3 linked regions of the Bombyx mori genome follow. The protein of the gene in region 3 interacts with the protein of the main gene of each other region in a pairwise test. Links are inferred from orthologs where the notes say so. Each region holds a gene or a part of one and is shown on either strand. Other genes may lie near its edges.

Region 1 (6,547 bases), on a different chromosome or scaffold from region 3:
GCTGACCCGGCAGACTTCGTAGTGCCTCAATCGATAATAATAAAAGACCTAAACTTTTGTATAAAATAAACTTAAAACAAACAAAAGGAATCCGTCCGACGGGGGACACGTCAAAGGAAAAACAAAATTGTTATTTTTATTTAATTCCGAGCATTTTCATATCTATCTACCTTTTAAACCTTCTCTGGACTTCCACAAATAATTAAAGACCAAAATCAGCCAAATCGGTCCAGCCGTTCTCGAGTTTTAGCGAGACTAACGAACAGCAATTCATTTTTATATACCTATATATACATAGAATAGATAGATACACTAATCACGAGGAGATAATTAGAAGGGTAGATTGTAAGTCACGTGATCAAGTGAAAGTGATGTTGCTGTGAAATACAGCGGAGACTTGGGAACCGTGCCTATGGTCTTCAGTAACTACTAGAAGCATTCGGTACGTGCGGTTTTTTGGGAATGCAACTCATTGGCGTAACCACTTTCCCAGCATGCAATTCAAAATGCATAATTTGCTCGTTGCAGTAATTAAAAAAGGCGGAAGCCGCTTTAGCTGGACCGCAAAACCAGCAATAGAATAGCTGTAGAAATTTATCATATATGATTTTCTATTCCGAATTCTTAAAACTGGTGGTAGGACCTCCTGTGAGTCCGCACGAGTAGGTACCACCACCCCGCCTATTTCTGCCGTGAAGCAGTAATGCGTTTCAGTTTGAAGGGTGGGGCAGCCGTTGTAACCATACTTGAGACAGAACTTATATCTCATCTTATATCTATGGGCTCCAGTAACCACTTAACACACGTTATCAGGCGACTACGGTGCTGCTGAGGGAGGAGATTATTCGTACTGTTCCTCTGAGTCCGACGACGAGGACGATGACGACGATGAAGACGACGACGAAGACTCTGATGATGAGGAGGAGACTGCCGCAGATGAAAAGGGAAAAGGGAAGTCTACTTCCTGAATGGACTTTAATGTACCAAGTGCTTAGACATTGCTTATATAATAATAAATGTTTATCGTATAAATATTGTTGGTTTTTTGTTACATGTTGAGAAACACTTAAGGCGAATTTACATTACGAAATTAGTGGCATGAAATTAATTTCGTGACATTAGTTTTACCAACAGTTTCACGTGTAATTTAATACTTTCGTAATGCATGCGTTAATTTCATTCATGCAAATTAGTTTCGTGCCCTGCGCGATTGTTTGGTGAAATTAGTGTCATGCAACTAATTTCATAGTGTAGACGCGACGTGAAACTAATGTCGCGAAAGGGCCTCCGCAGTGCGGACGTGTGTATTGTTAGTTCGGACGCGCTTCAAGCGTTGAAAATGACAAACTAACGATGGAGTACAACTTTTTAACGAAATTACTTTCGCATATATCGAAACTACTTTCGTGAAACTGAGCTCAACATGCATGACACTAATTTCGTAATGTAAATCCCGCATAAGAAAAGTTTGTGTCAGTTATGAAGTTCTTGTGTGATTGCTTTTAACAATTTTTATTATTCTATAAGTCACAAATGCAAAGACATTTCGAGGTTTTTTTTTTATTGCTTATATGGGTGGACGAGCTCACAGTTCACCTAGTGTTAAGTGGTTACCGGAGCCCATAGACATCTACGACGTAAATGCGCTACCCACCTTGAGATATTAGCTCTGATGTCTCAAGTATAGTTACAACGGCTGCCCCACCCTTCGAACTGAAACGCATTACTGCTTCACGGCACAAATAGGCGGGGCGGTGGTACTTACCAACGCGGACTCACAAGAGATCCTACCACCAATCAAAAATGAGAATGAGATATGAGAATCCTAGTACTTAATACCTACACAACCGGTACAATGTTTATAAATATTGTTTTTAGTTTATTTAAGTTATATTGCTATAGAGTTATTCATAGTTTTTTTTTTGTTTAATGGTGGAAAAAGTACTGTGAGGGAGCGCGTCTTGCCTTAATTAATAACCGAACTTTACTCGTCCCTTCCGTCCGTCAAGTCCATCAATTTAGGTTTTTATATCATTAATTCTCTCAAAGCGAACATGCTTTGATACCTTCTACTTAATAAAAATGTAATATGTGTTTGATTGAACTAAGACCAATATACCAGTCTATCTAATATATATTATTATCTATGACTAAGACATAATAAATGATCTGCGTGAAACGCAACTAGCCACATGACTATGGTGTTACCAATTCTCAATGTTATGTTTTGGTAGTTATTATTTTAAATTAAACTAAAATTAAAAACTAAGCAAATAAAACTAAACTAAAATTATTTTTTGGTAAAATCAATAGTAATGGTTAGTCTGAATCGCTACTGTTAATATTTTTAACATAATTACCAGTAAATAAACTTAAATAAAACGTTCAATTAGTTTTTCCTATTTTCTACCTCGACTTTTCGAATTGCTTATAAAGTTTTGAGTTTTTTCACACTGAAATTATCTTATAATAGCCTAAGACAGTGGTTTTTAGGAGAATCAATTGAATCAATTTAACGACTTAATGTTTTATGGTAGTTTATCAAATCAAGACGCTTATGACCCAAAAAGCTACCTTGTGTTGACAGTTTGACAGCTACGCAGTAATCGTGCAGTATTGTCGGAATTTTACTGCCGTATTTTTTTCAAATTTTCTGTTTATATCATCGTAGATAAGGGTACTAAAGTCAGCGTAATAACGTATCAGTGTTGTTAGCTGTGTGAAGTGGTAAAACGCAATGTCCCGCGCGATAGGCGGTCGGTGAAAGTGCAAGGTGTTGTGACCGCGAGTGATCATAAAACGAGTGGATAGTGGATGACGATGGGCGTGGGTCTGCAGCCTCTAGAGTTCACCGAGTGCCTCGCGGACAGCCCTCAGTTCCGCGAGAATCTCCAACGTCACGAAAAGGAACTAGAACGAACCAGCCAGCAGATCAAGCGGCTCATCAAAGAAGTCAAGGATGTCGTGCAGGCAGCTAAACGTGAGTGCGAACCCTTCACCTGCGACCGCGCACCGCTCGAAAGTGTTAAGGTCAAATTATTCACGCGACACAAAGAATGCTCTACGTGTTGCATAGTTCGGCACTGTACATCCCCGCCCGTTATAGTTTATCATACAACTAATACAGAAGTGTGACGATATTACGTCTGTACATTAAAATCATTATATTTAACTTTTTCTGTTATCCTATGTCAAGCCAAAGATATATATTATTATAATCACAGAACCATGCTATCAATATATCAAGTTAATTCATTTATTCTTGATTTAATACTAGTGAAACTGCAGGTTAAAATATATCTATAACTCTTATAATATATTTCAACTTTGATAATGATATTTGAGATGAGTGAGTGTTGAGCTGACAGCTGATAGAATAGAATGGAAGAGAAAAATTAGCTCTGCCAGTCCCACCTAGTGGGATAAGGTGAAGAATAAGAATGATATTTGGGTTATAATTGTGATGAATTAAATCGACATAATTGAATTTGTAGTCAATAATTGCACATAAGTTAATCAATGTTAGAGCAAGTGTCAGTAAACTGACCATGTTTGGGCAGTTTATTGATACTGTTAATAACCATAACAACCAACATAGTCCATAAGTAATGGTGCCAAGCTAGGATCTGTCTTTATGTTATCACTTCAAGAACAACTAAAAAAAAGAGATTTACGCCAATTGAGTATCTGTGATTTTTTATTTGGACAGTGAAAGGCTATTTGTTTTAAGAAACATTTTGCTTAATACGCGACATTTACCATTGTAATTAAAGGTCCGTCTAATTTGGTATTAGTATCAACAATTGGATGTTATTAATTGAACTTCAATTAAGTTTACCCCATTCAAATGACTGAAGAAGTTTTATGTTATGATTTTTTTTCCAAATTTTAAACTTTAAATGGCTTGCCTGTAAAGTTGCAAAAATTTTGCTTAAACCAAATACCCTTTCCCCTCTCGATATCATATATGTGATGAATTTTTATTAGATGAGTGAACAAGCTCATGACTCACCTGGTTGGTTCAGTGGCTACTAGAACCTAAAGACATCATCAACCTAAATGTGCCACCCAACTTGAGACATGATTTCTAAGTCTGGAATTTTTCTTTACAGTACAGGTTTTTTTTATGGCAGTGAGGTTTGCGGAGGTTAGGTCAACAACCGCCCGCCAACAATCAATCATCCGCTAAAAAAGCAAATGGTTAAGGAAGTAGTTAAAGTTTACTTTACTGGGGTATAAAACTATTAGAACTTTACATAATAATGATAATCAAACAACAAAAATGAATAAGCAGTGTAATTGTAATATAAATAATATATTTAAAGTTACATTTAATTAATGATGGTTAGGATTTATAATGAATTCAAGTAATTATAAAATCAATTATCCTTTAATAAACATTACAAATAAAATAATAAACATTACAATACATAATTACAAATAATAATTATATTACAAACATTTATCCTTAATTGAAGGTCATCTTCCAAAATAAACATTTCATTATTAAAGAAACATTAATCCTACCTCTTTTAATGATCATGTTCCACTTGGTATTGAAGCCCATTGATATCTTAAAATGGATGCTGCTACTCACCCCGGAGGTCAAAGTATCTATTATATTGTACATATATGTATATGTTGACCCACCCTTGAAATCAGAATGGTTGTTTTTCAACCAAATTAATATGATGTTACTTCGTTACAGGGTTTTACAAAGATTTTTAATATCAAAAGGTGAAAGACTATTTATTTGGTTTGAGCGACAATATGCAAATTTACAGGTTAAAACTGAGAGCCATTTAAAGTATGAAATTGGGATAAAATATAAAAAAAAAAATTCTGCCATTTGCATGGTGTAAACTTAATTAAGTTTAAATTAAAAACATGAAATTGTTGATGCTAATACCAAGTAAAACGCACCTTTAATTACAAAGTTACATTTCACTTCTTCAGCAAAATGTTGGTTAAACAAAATAATCTTTCAGGATCTTTACTGGTGGTAGGACATCTTGTGAGTCCGCGCGAGTAGGTACCACCACCCTGCTTATTTCTGCCGTGAAGCAGTAATGCGTTTCGGTTTAAAGTGTGGGGCAGCCGTTGTAACTATACTTGAAACCTTAGAACTTATATCTCAAGTTGGGTGGCGCATTTACGTTGTAGATGTCTATGGGCTCCAGTAACCACTTAACACAAGGTGGGCCGTGAGCTCGTCCAACCATCTAACCAATAAAAATTATATATATAGGTGATCAGGTAGGACATGTTGTAGGTGGACTTGGTTTCGGTCGGCGGTGTATCGCGTTCCGACCCGGCAGGCTGGTTCTGGCCCAGCGGGGTATCCCGGAACACCAGCGGCATCGCCCGGGCGGCCTGGTGGGGCCGCCGTACCGCGGAGACTGACGTCGTTGGTCGTCGACTATCGCCTCGACGACCCGTCGGTCGGGCGTCCTCGGGGTGGCAACGCGTGTCTGCTTGTAGTGTTGACCGCGTGAACCCCCCTACTCTGACCGGGTTTTGACCCCAGACGGAGATCGGACGCCGGGTGTAAGAGTGCAGGGGAGTCGTTTAGTGGGTGGGCCCTAAATTCCTTGGGCCCGCGGTCTGCTCTCAACACCTGCAGATCGTTGAGTCTCACATACCCCGCGCGCCCCCTAGGCGCGGGGACCTCGTAGGAGGTTCGGCCCTCGGCCCGAAAAAAAAAAAAAGGTGGACTTGGTTTATTAGTAACTGGAAGCCATAGACATTATAATGTGAATGCTATCACCCAACATGAGGTCTAAGTTTCAATTGTACAGTAGGTATCACCGACTTTGCAACATTACTAATTATGGAAATTTATTAAGTTTGATTCATTTTAGCATAATTCTTCTGCATGATGGGTGGTCTGGTTGTGCATCTGTTATTGATAATGTCCATGAATGATGATAATTACACAATATCGGGTGGGCCATACACTTGTGTGCTTACTAAGGTGATAAATAAAAAACATATTTCAACAATGAAAGATACACAAATACATTATTTCATATGGCAATAGGTCAATTAAGGCCATCAATTTCTATTTAAAATCACTAAAATTGTCATACAGAATTAGGTATAGTTAATATAAAGTGCCACTAAAAAGGCACACATCGGTTTTCCTACTGTGTAGTTAAATTGCGAATCGCTTGAAGGTAAACGCCTCTATATAAGTAGATGAAATTTGAAAAGTAGGCGTATTCTATGATCATGATCAATCGAAATTTGCAAATAAAAATTAATGGAATTTCATGTATTTCAATATAGTTTAAAAAAAAAATGTAGTATGGATGAACATTATACTTTTGTGTGAATTATTATTAATGAGGTCCCAAAAATGCTGTGGTATGGTCTCATGTTTTATTTGAGCGATATATAGGTATCCATAGGGAGCGGAAGTTATTTTACAAAAAGCTAAATCGTGCTTATAAGTATATCGTACCAATCTTCTCAATAAAAGTTTTTTTTGTTGCTGTTACCTATAGATTTAACAGTTTCATTGATGACTTTTTTTATTGTTGTGTTA
Region 2 (6,075 bases), on a different chromosome or scaffold from region 3:
CGGAACTTACGCGAAGAATATCACAAATATATCTTTAGAATATGATTTCGTATTTTGTTTCTTGAAATTCGAATTGTATAGTGACGCAAATTAATATCTTACTGGTGCTAAAGCTACATAAATAACATAGTGACCGACATACTATATAAATACTTATAATGTAGAATGTAGTCATTGTATGCATGTTTTTTCGTCTGATATTTATAGGGGTAATTAGAATTTGCAAACCAGCACAACACCCTTAAATTCACTGTGACGTAAATCATTTTCATTTTGATTTTGATATACTTTTTTTTTTTGAATTTTCAAACATCAATTCTCTAATCTAAATCTACAAATATTTTACAACATAAAAATAATTAACAATAAATAAATAAAAGTGAATTTAAGGGTTAATAAAAATCTCATGGTGATGTCGATAGTTTTTAAGATTTATAAAAATTTCAAAATGGTGTTTTTAATAGGGATGTGCTTGAGAAGTTTAATGTTCGTTTAGACCCGTTTTTGTAAAATAACGTAATTATATTCCACGTCAATTTACAGTTTTATATTTTTTTTTCAGGGAAAGAAATTATAATATATTATTATACGAACGTGTTTTGGTACAAAACGATGCGAGTCGATTCGGCTTAGGCTAAATATCTTATCAAATTTCTCAACGAACCCATTAATGGGAGTGAAAGCCACCGGCCAAGCTCACACATACCTGTATTGTTATATAAATATTGCATCAGAGTATAAAAATTACTAAACGTCTCTCGAGTCGATGATGCGTCGAGTGCGAATCGCAACACTATTCAATCGATTTATAAAACAGCAGCATTATTTATTACAACAACGAACATCAATGAACTAAATTATCGTTTTAGGCGTCGATGTGGGTACATGACGGCTTACCGAGATTGCAGTGTGAACGCCGCCAACCACTTTGAGAAGTGAGGCCAGTCTCAATCGCATTTTAGTAACCGTTATACTATAGCTCGTCACGTCACGTCCTACCACCGCTATTAAAATCATTGTAAGAAGCATTCGCTTAATCGATTCGCGTATCGATATTGATCGTACTAACGCGTATTTAAATCGATACACACCTACCCTCGTAATGTCAGAGAACGAACGTCCTATACGTCACTATATCACAGCATCAATCGTGTACCTCCTTGTACGGCATCTCGCTGGTCACCGTAAACGATTCGAAGTAATGATTGAGGAACTCGAAGGTGGGCCGCTTCTCAGGCACCGCGTCCCAGCACTGCAGCATCAGCCCGTATATGGCGTCCGGCAGGTACACGTCTATCGGCTTCGGCATCCGGTAGCCGATCTCGATTTTGTCGATGACGTCCTTGCCGTGCAATCCCGGGTACGGAATCTTCCCGTATGTGAAAAGCTCCATTAAGAGAATGCCGTACGACCAGACGTCGCTTTTGATGGAGAACTTCCCGTATATTATAGCTTCGGGGGCTGTCCATTTGACTGGGAACCTAGAGCCTTGCTTGGGGCAGTATTCGTTGTCTTCTATGACCCTGGCGAGACCGAAGTCGCATATTTTGGCGGTATTGTTCTCCCCGATGAGCACGTTCCGAGCGGCCAGGTCTCTGTGAATCAGCATTTTCGATTCGAGATACTCCATACCGGAGGCGACCTGGGCCGCTATGTAAACTAGGTCCTCGAACTGGAGGAACTTCCCTTCGCCGTTCCTCAAGAACTCCAGTAAGGAGCCGCGGCTCATGTACTCCTGGACGATGTAGACCGGCTCCTGCTGCGAGCAGACGGCGTACAGGGCGACCAGCTTGTTGTGCCGGAACTTCTTCATGATCGCCGCCTCTTGCAGGAAGGCCTGAGTCGACATTGTGCCCTCGCGAAGAGTCTTCACGGCGACCTGCAACATAAAAAAAACTTGACATATATTGCAGTTTGAAACTTAGGTAGACTTTTTTCTTTATATCTTTGCCGATTTCTATGAGCAATTCTACCGTACCAACATTTCTATCCTGAAAGAGCTCAACATCAAGGAGAGACTATCGTCAACAGTCCATATACGAATCCTCAAGTTCTTCGGGCACATAACTCGTAATGTGGACTCCATTGCTCTCCAATCCATCCATGAGGACATAAAATCTGTGACTCACTCCAACATAAACGATTGCTCTCACTCTGCGAAACACCGTGCCACATGGCGTCGCATCGCGAGAGCATCGGTATCGCAGGATCCGATTGACGCAAGACCACGACCACTCTGTCAAGAGTGTACGAATAGGAAGATGAGCAGCGGTGAGCTCTTTCCACAAGAATAGTAAATTCTAAATTTCGTGAATCACGAATCAAGTTAAGTGAAATGAACAAATCAAAGAGATGTCGATTTAATCAGGCCTTGCCACCATTTTAGTGTGAGTTGGCACATAGTATAATGGCGAACAGCAAGGGATCGCTCTCGTATAGTAAGTACACTTGCGAACACTTCTCTTTGAAAAACTGGGTGCCTAAGGTAACGGTTGGTAAAAGGCGAATATATGATTTCAAGAATGCTCGCGCATATGACACAAGTTCTAAACAACATTCAGACCCAAGTCTTCTAATCGTAGCATTGAAACTTTTCCTATAATTAATCTATTAAACATTAACCCGTGTTACCTCAATATTATTCCTCCATTTCCCGTAATAGACTTCGCCGAAGTTTCCTTGACCGAGCTTCCTAATGAGTTGTATTTCCATCCTGGGTATCTCCCACTTGTCCCGCAGTTCGGGCCCGAGGTCCCAGATCTGCGGCTCGGGCTTCGGACAAGGCCGGGCCAGGACGTGACACAGCCCTAATGCATTTTCTGGAAACAATTAGCATCTTTTATTTAGATAACGCGGTCTACGTCAATGAATTGAATTCGATCGAGGCTATTAAAATCACAGTAATGAATGAATGAAAATGATTTATTTCAGAAACAAGTCAATGTGTGTACATATGTAATACATTTAAACATAATCAGTTAAAACAAATAAAAATAACTAGTCAGGTCATAAGTATTGTCACACAGTAAAAACTTTTCTTTTAGAATGCTGGTCACAAAAAAGTTTATTGAATTCGAATTTCGAATTGTTCATGAAAATAAAAATGTATACTTTTAGAATTTTACTCATTTTTAAATATGGAGTGGACGCTTAAAGAAGACCGTGTTGCAGTTATTGCGTTGCATCGTTGCGGTTACGCGCCAATTCAAATTTTTAACATACTGAAAAATTTGAATATAAACAAAATATTCGTTTATCGTACCATCAAACGATACAATGAAGACTCTAGTGTAGATGACAGGTCAAGAAGTGGTCGCCCTCGGTCTGTTAGGACTCCAGCAGTGATAAAAGCTGTGAAGGCGCGAATTCAAAGAATCCCAAACGTAAGCAGAAACTGTTGGCCCTTCAGATGGGGTTAAACAGAACCACGGTGAAAAGGGTGTTAAATGAATACTTAGGGCTTCGGGCATATCGAAGAAAAACAGGACATCGTTTGAATGCTCGTCTAATGGACCTGAGACTGAAGAGATGCCGCGCTTTGTTGAAGCGGTACGCGGGAAAAAAATATCGGGAAATTCTTTTTTCGGATGAAAAAATTTTTACCGTAGAAGAGAGCTACAACAAACAAAATGATAAGGTGTACGCACACAGTAGTGAAGAAGCGAGCAACCGTATTCCGCGTGTCCAACGAGGTCATTTTCCATCCTCGCTCATGGTATGGTTGGGAGTTTCTTATTGGGGCTTAACAGAGGTACATTTTTGTGAGAAAGGTGTAAAAACGAATGCAGTTGTGTATCAAAATACAGTCCTGACGAACCTTGTGGAACCTGTTTCTCATACCATGTTCAATAACAGGCACTGGGTATTCCAACAAGATTCGGCGCCAGCTCATAGAGCGAAGAGCACACATGACTGGCTGGCGGCGCGTGAAATCTACTTCATCCGGCACGAAGACTGGCCCTCCTCCAGTCCAGATTTGAATCCGTTAGATTACAAGATATGGCAACACTTGAAGGAAAAGGCGTGCTCAAAGCCTCATCCCAATTTGGAGTCACTCAAGACATCCTTGATTAAGGCAGCCGCCGATATTGACATGGACCTCGTTCGTGCTGCGATAGACGACTGGCCGCGCAGATTGAAGGCCTGTATTCAAAATCACGGAGGTCATTTTGAATAAGCTTTAGTGTCATAAGAATCTATATTTTGTTAAGTTCATTTTGGTATATGAATGGTTACATAATAAATAAACTTGTTTCAATTATTTTACATTAAACATGTGACAGAATTTATGACCTGACTAGGTATATATGACTAGCTGACCCGGCAAACTTCGTAGTGCCTCAATCGATAAATAAAAGACCTAAATTTTTGTATAAAATAAACTTAAAACAAACAAAAACAATCCGTCCGACGAAGGACACATCAAAGGAAAAACAAAGTTGTTATTTTTATTCATTTCCGAACGTTGAAGACGTTTAAATATTCCATTATGATGGGCGCCACCGTATTCATATAAAAATGTTTTTTTTATTGCTCTTATAGTCTGACGATTATACGGCCCACCCAATGGTAGTGGTTAACATACAGAAGCAGAGTCAGGTCACTGATGAATACTGCAAGCCTCGTTTAAAAAAGGACATGTCATAGCGCACGGGAAACAACGCGAACCCTCCGCGCCTCTTCAATTGATAATTATTTTTAATCTATATATATATAAATGAATTGCTGTTCGTTAGTCTCGATAAAAATCGAGAACGGCTGGACCGATTTGACTAATTTTCGTCTTGAATTAATTGTGGAAGTCCATAGAAGGTTTAAAAGGTAGATAAATATGAAAATGCTCGGAATTAAATAAAAATAACAATTTTGTTTTTCCTTTGACGTGTCCCCCGTCGGACGAATTCCTTTTGTTTAAGTTTATTTTATACAAAAAATTTGATCTTTTATTTATCGATTGAGGCACTACGAAGTCTGTCAGATCAGCTAGTTCTTAATGTAACAAAGAAAACATACTTACTCGTATACGACATGACGAGAGCGGGTAAGCTCGGGAAGGTTTGGTTTGTGGCGATATAAAAACCGCCTTTGTCGAGCGGCTTTATTTTATAATGTTTCACGTGGTAGCCCCTTCCGTCTTCCCAATCTTTGACGCTTAAGCTGAAGCCGTGAGGGTTGTGCTCCGCCGGTCGGACCAAGAACGTACCGCGGGGGTTGCTCTCGGCTAGGAGGAGTTTGTCGGCCTCCTTCCTCGACACGTGAGGAAAGAACCAGCTGCAACATGACTGCCTTTAAGAAGGGGCGCCGTTAATGATAGGCCTTGGTGGTCCGAACCGCCACCGCTTAGTATAGAAGTTAGTAGAAGTAAAGCATTTTATATTAAGAAAAAATCGAAATGCGCATTCCTTTTATAAATTATATACACCAAAATGAAACATAAACTATGTTCAAAATACAAGGGCCTGCCAACGAAAAATAATGAGAAAAGTTTTTTTTCTTAAATCTTAAAATTAAAAAGCTTAGCGGCAGTTACTTGTTATTTTAGTTTCAAAAATTTAAAATGAGTCCGTCTTGATAAAAAAAAAATTAAAAATATTTAATTTTGCTCGATATAATAAGGTTTTAAGTGAACTCTATATTTAAACACAAACATATTGAATATTGTTTATGGTCTTAATACGAAGATAAAAAGCTGAAGACTAGAAGAGTGAAACAAAGTTTTACACCAAATCAAGTTAAAACGGTTTCGACACTCACTCTTCACATTCCACTGAACTCTCTTCGGCGACGTAATTGACTGGAACCAGGCCTTCCCTCCTCGTGGTCAGATGGAACACCATCCACCAATCCGGCTCCGAGCTGTTGAGGACTTCCATGCGGTCGCCCTTGTGAAACGAGATGTCGGAGTCCGCTCGAGCCGTATACTCGCATAGGGCTTTTACGACTCGACGACCGCCGTTTGATATGCCTGAAAACAATATCCACAACAATCGATTAATTACGATTTACTTACAAGTGACGTAATAGGTGCTAATTAGATGTTGTTCATCGGCCGAAGCGTTGGCTTGTGGCTGATAT
Region 3 (6,724 bases):
ATGGTTTAACACAAAAACAATGTGTTGACCGGATGATTTCTGCATTTGGTGATGAAGCCCCATCCAAAACCACAATTTATCGCAGGTTTGCTGAGTTTCAACATGGACGTGTCAAGCCCAGTGATGATCCCAGTCAAGGTCGTCCAAAAACTGCAGTGACCCAAGAAAACGTTGATGCTGTGCGTAAGCTGATTGAGGAAGATCGACATGTGACATACCGCGAAATTCAGGCAACTTTAGACATTGGCATGAGTCAAATACAAATAATCTTGCATGAACAATTAGGTGTAAAAAAGTTGTTTTCCCGATGGATACCGCATTCGCTCTGTGAAGAGCAAAAAGCGGGTCGCATTACTTGGTGCGTCAGAACTCTCGAAAGATTCCACGCAGGATCCTCAAATGCTGTATACAACATTGTATCAGGTGACGAATCCTGGATATACGCGTACGAACCCGAAACAAAAAACCAGTCACGAGTTTGGGTGTTCGAAAATGAGTTAAAGCCAACAAAAATTGTTCGTTCACGGAGTGTTGCAAAAAAAATGGTGGCCACGTTTGTCTCCAAAACCGGCCATGTTACGACTATTCCTCTTGAGGGACAAAGAACGGTTAATGCAGAATGGTATGCTAGCATTTGTTTGCCACAGGTCGTTTCTGAACTCCGTAAAGAGAACTGCAACCGCCGCATCATCCTCCATCACGACAATGCGAGTTCTTACACCGCGCACAGAACAAAAGAGTTTTTAGAGCAAGAAAACATAGAATTATTAGACCATCCGCCGTACAGCCCCGACCTAAGCCCTAATGATTTCTATACTTTCCCTAAAATAAAGAATAAATTGCGTGGACAGAGATTTTCATCACCTGAAGAAGCTGTGGACGCCTACAAAACGGCCATTTTGGAGACGCCAACTTCCGAATGGAATGGTTGCTTCAATGATTGGTTCCATCGTATGGAAAAATGTGTCAAATTTCGCGGAGAATACTTCGAAAAGCAATAAATACATTTTTAAATAGTAATGTTGTGTCACTTCATTAATTCCCGAAATTTTCAGTGCCGCCTATGTATTCATGTTTGCATTTCCAATATTAGTAAGTACTGATTTAAAAAGCAAGAAAATACACTGAATAGAGCACATAAGGAACAATAAGGAAGTATTGCATCTGTAATTGAAGAAACCAACATGTTAGATCAGAGCCAGTTTAGAGCAACACATTTCCTGATCTGTTCTTGTTGTAATGTGCACACAGCCTCTAAGTTATTTAACTTACAATCAAGAATCCAACAGTACTGGCCTATGCTTATATCTAGCACTAGTATAAAAATTTTGTAAATCATAACTTTTTTTTATTACTTATGTAGGATACGGCCCATCTGATGATGAGTAGTTACTGTCGTTCCTAGACGTCAGCAATCCAGGGGCAGAGCCAAGCCGCTGCCTACGTTTTAATACTATCCACAAGCCTCATTTGAAGAAGGGCATATAGTGCTTGGGAAACACCATGGAAGGAAGCTCATTCCAAACCCTAGTGGTACATGGCAAAAAATTGTGTGGATGAACACATTGGCTCTAGTATGGATGAACTCTATATCGGTGGCGGGCGATGCGATGGTAAAAATGAAATTATGGGATCATCTCAAACAATTCCTCAGAGCACTCCGTGGAACATACAGTACAAAATCCGAACGGCTATATTCTGTATGGAGTCAACTGGAAGTAGCTGGTTAGGGCTACAGGAATATATTTATCAGAATTCTTAGTTACAAATTTTGACTTAAAGTTTGCTCAAAATAGATCTAATGCAAACCAACAAACGGCCAATGATGAAACAATTTGGAGAGAATTATTACCATATTTCATTCATTAAAGTAAAGAAGGGTTGAGATATAACTTATTTCACATTTGGGTACAAAATATTTGTTGCTGCAATGACCAAAAACACAACACTGAAATTTATCTGATTTCACATTTTTTATCACCTCTTGGCAATCACAACTAATCTTAAAATATACCATATATATCAAAGATACAAATTTCATTATCATATTTGATCTTACGTCTGAGATGGTATTTACTTTGTGCATTTTTATTGAATTGGTAGAGTAAGTAATCTATTCATTAATTTAAACAGAACTGATCTATCTTACAATGTTTACCACCAGTAATTCTGCAAGTTTGATTTCTAAGACAATGTTATTCTTTTACCACAAAAGTCATTTGTAAAGTGAACTCATTTTTAAGTACTTGTTTCCTCACAAAAATTGATGCCTGCCTGCAGGACTTCAATACTGGGTCAGTCACATGACTCAATATGAATTCACTGGGTGTCTTATACTTTAGGCCACAACAGCTTCATGTAGGTAAAGCTCAGCAAGATTTGAAGGAGGACAAAAGTGTCCAACGGCATAATTATAATTTAGTGAGATATAGCCTATTCAAATTACATACACACACTGTGACATAAAATGAGCCTACATAAATATACACATATGCCTATATTTTACACAATATGACATTTATCTTAGTGATCATAAGCTTGGAATAGCCACTCATGTGCTATTTCAGTGTACTGAAGGGTTCTTTGAGGAAGATTTAAATTTCAAAATAAACTCTACCAACAGTTATAAAATGAGCAAAACCAACTCAGCAAACATGTTAATCTATTTATATTTTAATTAATTTCTTTGCAATATCACTGTTCTAGTCATTGACATCTCTTTGAAAAATGATTTAACAACCAGAGGCAACTGAGTACCTGGAGGAAGTTAGTTGACGACCGGCTTTAAATTTATGGTTAAAATATTTATTCAGAACTGTTTATGAAAATAAAATACTTAAAGTTTCCTAATATCTCATCAGTGATTAGAGAATACAATATGTAATCTGATGGGTTTTTTAGATTGGTTAATAAATACAAAATTCCGTCTTTAAAATTTATCAGCTATAGTCGAATTATCTATGAGTTAAACTATGCATTTGTATACAAATGTACTCGTAGATCACTTAGGCAAGAGCAGGGTTGATGACAAATTTATTTAATATACCAAAATGACCAACAAGACATGTAAGTATGTATGAACTCTCCACTTACCTGATGATAGTAGGCTTCATATATCGTGCTGTGGGTCCCTGCCACCTGTAACGATTGAGTCCACATATTGACACCGTTTAGATCACCATAATATTTGTTTTCGACTTGTTTATATCACTTTTGAGGTGGCGTTACTTTTAATCGAGATATGTTTTAATTGTTAACATTTACTATTCAACCAACTAATTAAGAGGTTAATAAATTATTAAAGAGATTATTCACCATAACTGAGGCACAGTCTTTGACTACGAAATGGGCATTAAATGAACACTGTTGGGATAAATACGTCAATACATTAAATTCAAGCAAATAAATTTGTTTCTAACACGATCTTCACACTAAATTACTAAAACCGGTTATTTTTGGTAACCACACACTAAACTTTACTAAAACTGGACTCTTTAAATTGATTAATTAACTTCCTTTAAGCAATTTAATCAAAAACAACTCAGTAAATCTTATTAATTTCTACCTGGGTAGGAGACGGCAAGGCAGCCATTTTTTACATCTCCTCGTCGACCAATCAATATGCAGCCAGTCATAGACTAAGCTAAGTGAAGGAGTAAAGATTAAAGAAAGGAAATTGTACTTGGCACTGTCATGGAAGGTACTGACATAGGTCTATGACCATAATGACTGATAAATATTATTTACTTTCTGGCAGGAATATGAAATGTCAAGTTGCGTGAAATGATTTATTTTTCTGTTTTTCTTCAGGCATTATCGTCTAATTTTAACTATTAATTGCATTCTATATGTCGTTTAAAATGAAACATGTTGGAAAATTGAAACAAAATCTTCATCCAGCTTTTCGGATTCTTCCAAAATGCTTAACGAATCTCCCATTACTTCACTGATATTATTTAATTTATTTTCATCTCGTTTCATTGATTACAATGAGGTCGCCGAATTCCGGGTGTGAATAGTCCGGAGAGTTTGGACTCATAACAGATATTCTACTATTATGTTTTATTCTTTCTAACACATTTAAAACTGTACCTAATGAATGGACCTTCTCTCTCGCACACAAACTTCATGTTAGATGTAGAGAAAGTCAGTTTTTTGGATCTGGATCTCGGTTTTTTCGGACTGTTGATTCACCGAATTCCGGGTGCAGCAGTTGGCGTCAAAGTCGTCATTTTGAATGTTACTGTGCAAAGGTTAAACAAATTTCAGTGTTGACAACCAAAGAAAATCTATCAAAATTTAATCATTTCAACGTTGTGTTTTTTAAATTCCAAATACTCCCATTTCTACCAACACGAATTTATTTTATTAAGTCCAAACACAACCCTGTCAACCAGTGAGCACACTAGATCATCCATGCCAAAAAGTTTGAGCATTTGCAAGAGAGGACTGACCACTTGCTTGAGCAAAGTAACCATTTGTGGAGGTAATGGTCCAAGACTTCAACGCTCGTCATCAATAATGGTTGGAGTACCAATAAAACCATTGACCTCCCGAACCAGGCTACCTACGATTACGCCTTAGCCTACGGCCTCACCTAGCTGGGGCCAGCGCCATGACCACATCCCATTTACCGCACGGCGTACCTGCGCTCTAGCGCGCTGCATGGCAGCAGTTCCACGAAACTATTGTGTGAGAGCAACCGGTTGGTGGTATATTGCGTTCCTATTGGCTGGTTCTAGTCCAGCGGGATATTCCGGAACACCAGCACCACTGCCTGGGGTGGCCCGTCGGGCTACCGCACCGAGACGGCCGACGTAGAGTCGTCAACGATGGCCTCGTCGACCTATCGGTCGGGCGTCCTAGGGTTGGCACCACGAGTCTGGTTGTAGTGCTGACCGCGGGAGCCCCCCTACTCTGACTGGGTTCTGACCCCAGGTGAAGATCGGACGTCGGTTGAAAGAGTGCAAGGGGGTCGTTTGGTGGATAGGGCCCTTAAGCATCCTTGGACCCGTGGTCTGCTCGAAACATCTGCAGATTGTCAAGTCTCACATACCTCATGCAAGGTATGTGGGATTTGACGGTCTGCACCTGAGGTTCGGCCGATGCCCGAAAAAAAAAGGCCACATCCCATTTGACGCTAAGGTAATACGCCATTGGTTGCCTAGAGTCTTGCGTGTAACAAACGACCCTTCAATTGTCCAAACTATAACCTTTAAGTCGTTTAGGTATTCTCCCTCGGGCCGACAGTATACGGTGCTATAGAACTAGGAAGCATCGATACTGCGGATCAAAAAACTTTGTAGCTTTTTCAAACCAATAATTTAATCATCTACTCATTTGAATAATAAAATGGTTCATTTAGTTTGGCTTGTAAAGACTCATAAAATATTTCAATCGCTCTAAGCCACGTCTGTTGATTTCAAAACAAGGTAGTTTTTCCAATTCATCCATCCACCTCTTCAAGTAAACAAATTTCTTGATTCCATTAACGACCGTCTCCATGGAACTAATGGTGGAAGCACAGCAAAAGTCGCAAATCCTCATCTAGAGAATAAAATCAAGCAAATTAATTGATGTTTCCTGTGAAGATGACGTTGTCTTGCATTGAAATCAAAATATATAATAGTTAGGAAGCTGAAAAGAACGTTGAATGAATCTAAACTGGAAGAAGTCCCACGGGGATAAATGGAACTAATATGACAGATCGGCCATATTTGTCGTTATCAGGTGCTGTCAAGTGTTGTTGTGTTCGTTACTATTGCGTTTTTTATTCAATTGTCGTATTTAAACTATTATTTACGATGTCTAAAGTTGTAAAAAGTGCCGGTCGTGAAATAATATTGAAGGTGAAGGAGTTTTGTGAAGCAGAACTGAAGAATCAGGGGGTTTTGATACCAATAAACAATGTTCGTAAGAGAGTAGCCGTCATGACAGGTAGTTAGTTGGGGATACCAGTTATGTGATTTTTACCATTTTACTTGGGACTTTTTTATGGTTTCGTACTTATTGTTAGATTAAAGTATTTTATTATTGTTTATTAAGATTTAAACATTTCGTCAAAGTTTAACAACACTATTGAAAATTCTGACGTGCCTGTTTTGTTTTATATCTATTAAAAAAAATGCAGGTGTGTCTTAGAAAACAGTTTCGAGGATAACACAAGAAGGAAAAGTAGCGGCTAGTACTTAGAAAAGGATTGTCACACCAGGGAAGAGTCGCCCACGTGCAAAAAAATAGGTTTGGATGGATTCGATCTATGTGCTATTCGCCATAAAATTCACCAGTTTTATACGGTAAAAAAGAACTTCCTACTTTAAATAAATTACTCGCAGTGTTAAAAGAAGACATTGGGTTTGAAGGAAGCCGCGCCACTCTACATAGAATACTGCAAAGTATTTGTTTTAAATACAAACGATGTCAGTCAAGCCGTTTAACCCTTCAATGAAGACATTCAGTGATAGCCGAGTACAGAAGAATGAATTAAGTACAGATTTGTTACCTGATCTCCAGCGAGCCATGGAGAAACCGACAGAGCTGTATTTAGGTAATGCAGAGAATTAAACCATTCATCAACTTTAACTCCAGATGGCATTTTTCCACAAAAATATTCAGACTGAAAATAAAAATAACGCAACGGTTCAAATTAATATATGTGTATCCAAATTTATGTAACTACCATTTTGTGTAACTGTACTCACAAGTATGAAACTGTCAATTGGAA

What was found.
Region 1: the proteins of epidermal growth factor receptor substrate 15-like 1 (region 3) and rho GTPase-activating protein Graf interact in a two-hybrid assay, tested with the Caenorhabditis elegans proteins (2 studies listed by BioGRID). The link is inferred for Bombyx mori from reciprocal best matches to the Caenorhabditis elegans genes ehs-1 and T04C9.1.
Region 2: the proteins of epidermal growth factor receptor substrate 15-like 1 (region 3) and tyrosine-protein kinase Src64B interact in a two-hybrid assay, tested with the Caenorhabditis elegans proteins (2 studies listed by BioGRID, with this or other methods). The link is inferred for Bombyx mori from reciprocal best matches to the Caenorhabditis elegans genes ehs-1 and src-1.

The regions. Positions count from the first base shown.
Region 1 is NC_085120.1:1,627,655-1,634,201, reverse strand, and holds the start of rho GTPase-activating protein Graf, read left to right. Parts: upstream 1-2,540; 5' UTR 2,541-2,814; coding exon 2,815-2,980; intron 2,981-6,547. Other genes in the region: zinc finger protein 330 homolog, read left to right, coding at 814-968.
Region 2 is NC_085117.1:16,859,547-16,865,621, forward strand, and holds part of tyrosine-protein kinase Src64B, read right to left. Parts: intron 5,966-6,075; coding exon 5,755-5,965; intron 5,272-5,754; coding exon 5,018-5,271; intron 2,820-5,017; coding exon 2,632-2,819; intron 1,880-2,631; coding exon 1,145-1,879; 3' UTR 1-1,144. UniProt on the Caenorhabditis elegans protein: Non-receptor tyrosine-protein kinase which plays a role in endoderm development by controlling spindle orientation in EMS blastomere, probably downstream of receptor mes-1.
Region 3 is NC_085125.1:127,100-133,823, forward strand, and holds the start of epidermal growth factor receptor substrate 15-like 1, read right to left. Parts: upstream 3,628-6,724; 5' UTR 3,593-3,627; coding exon 3,566-3,592; intron 3,364-3,565; coding exon 3,316-3,363; intron 3,139-3,315; coding exon 3,094-3,138; intron 1-3,093. Other genes in the region: glutathione S-transferase 2, read right to left, coding at 5,362-5,547, 6,503-6,616, 6,702-6,724.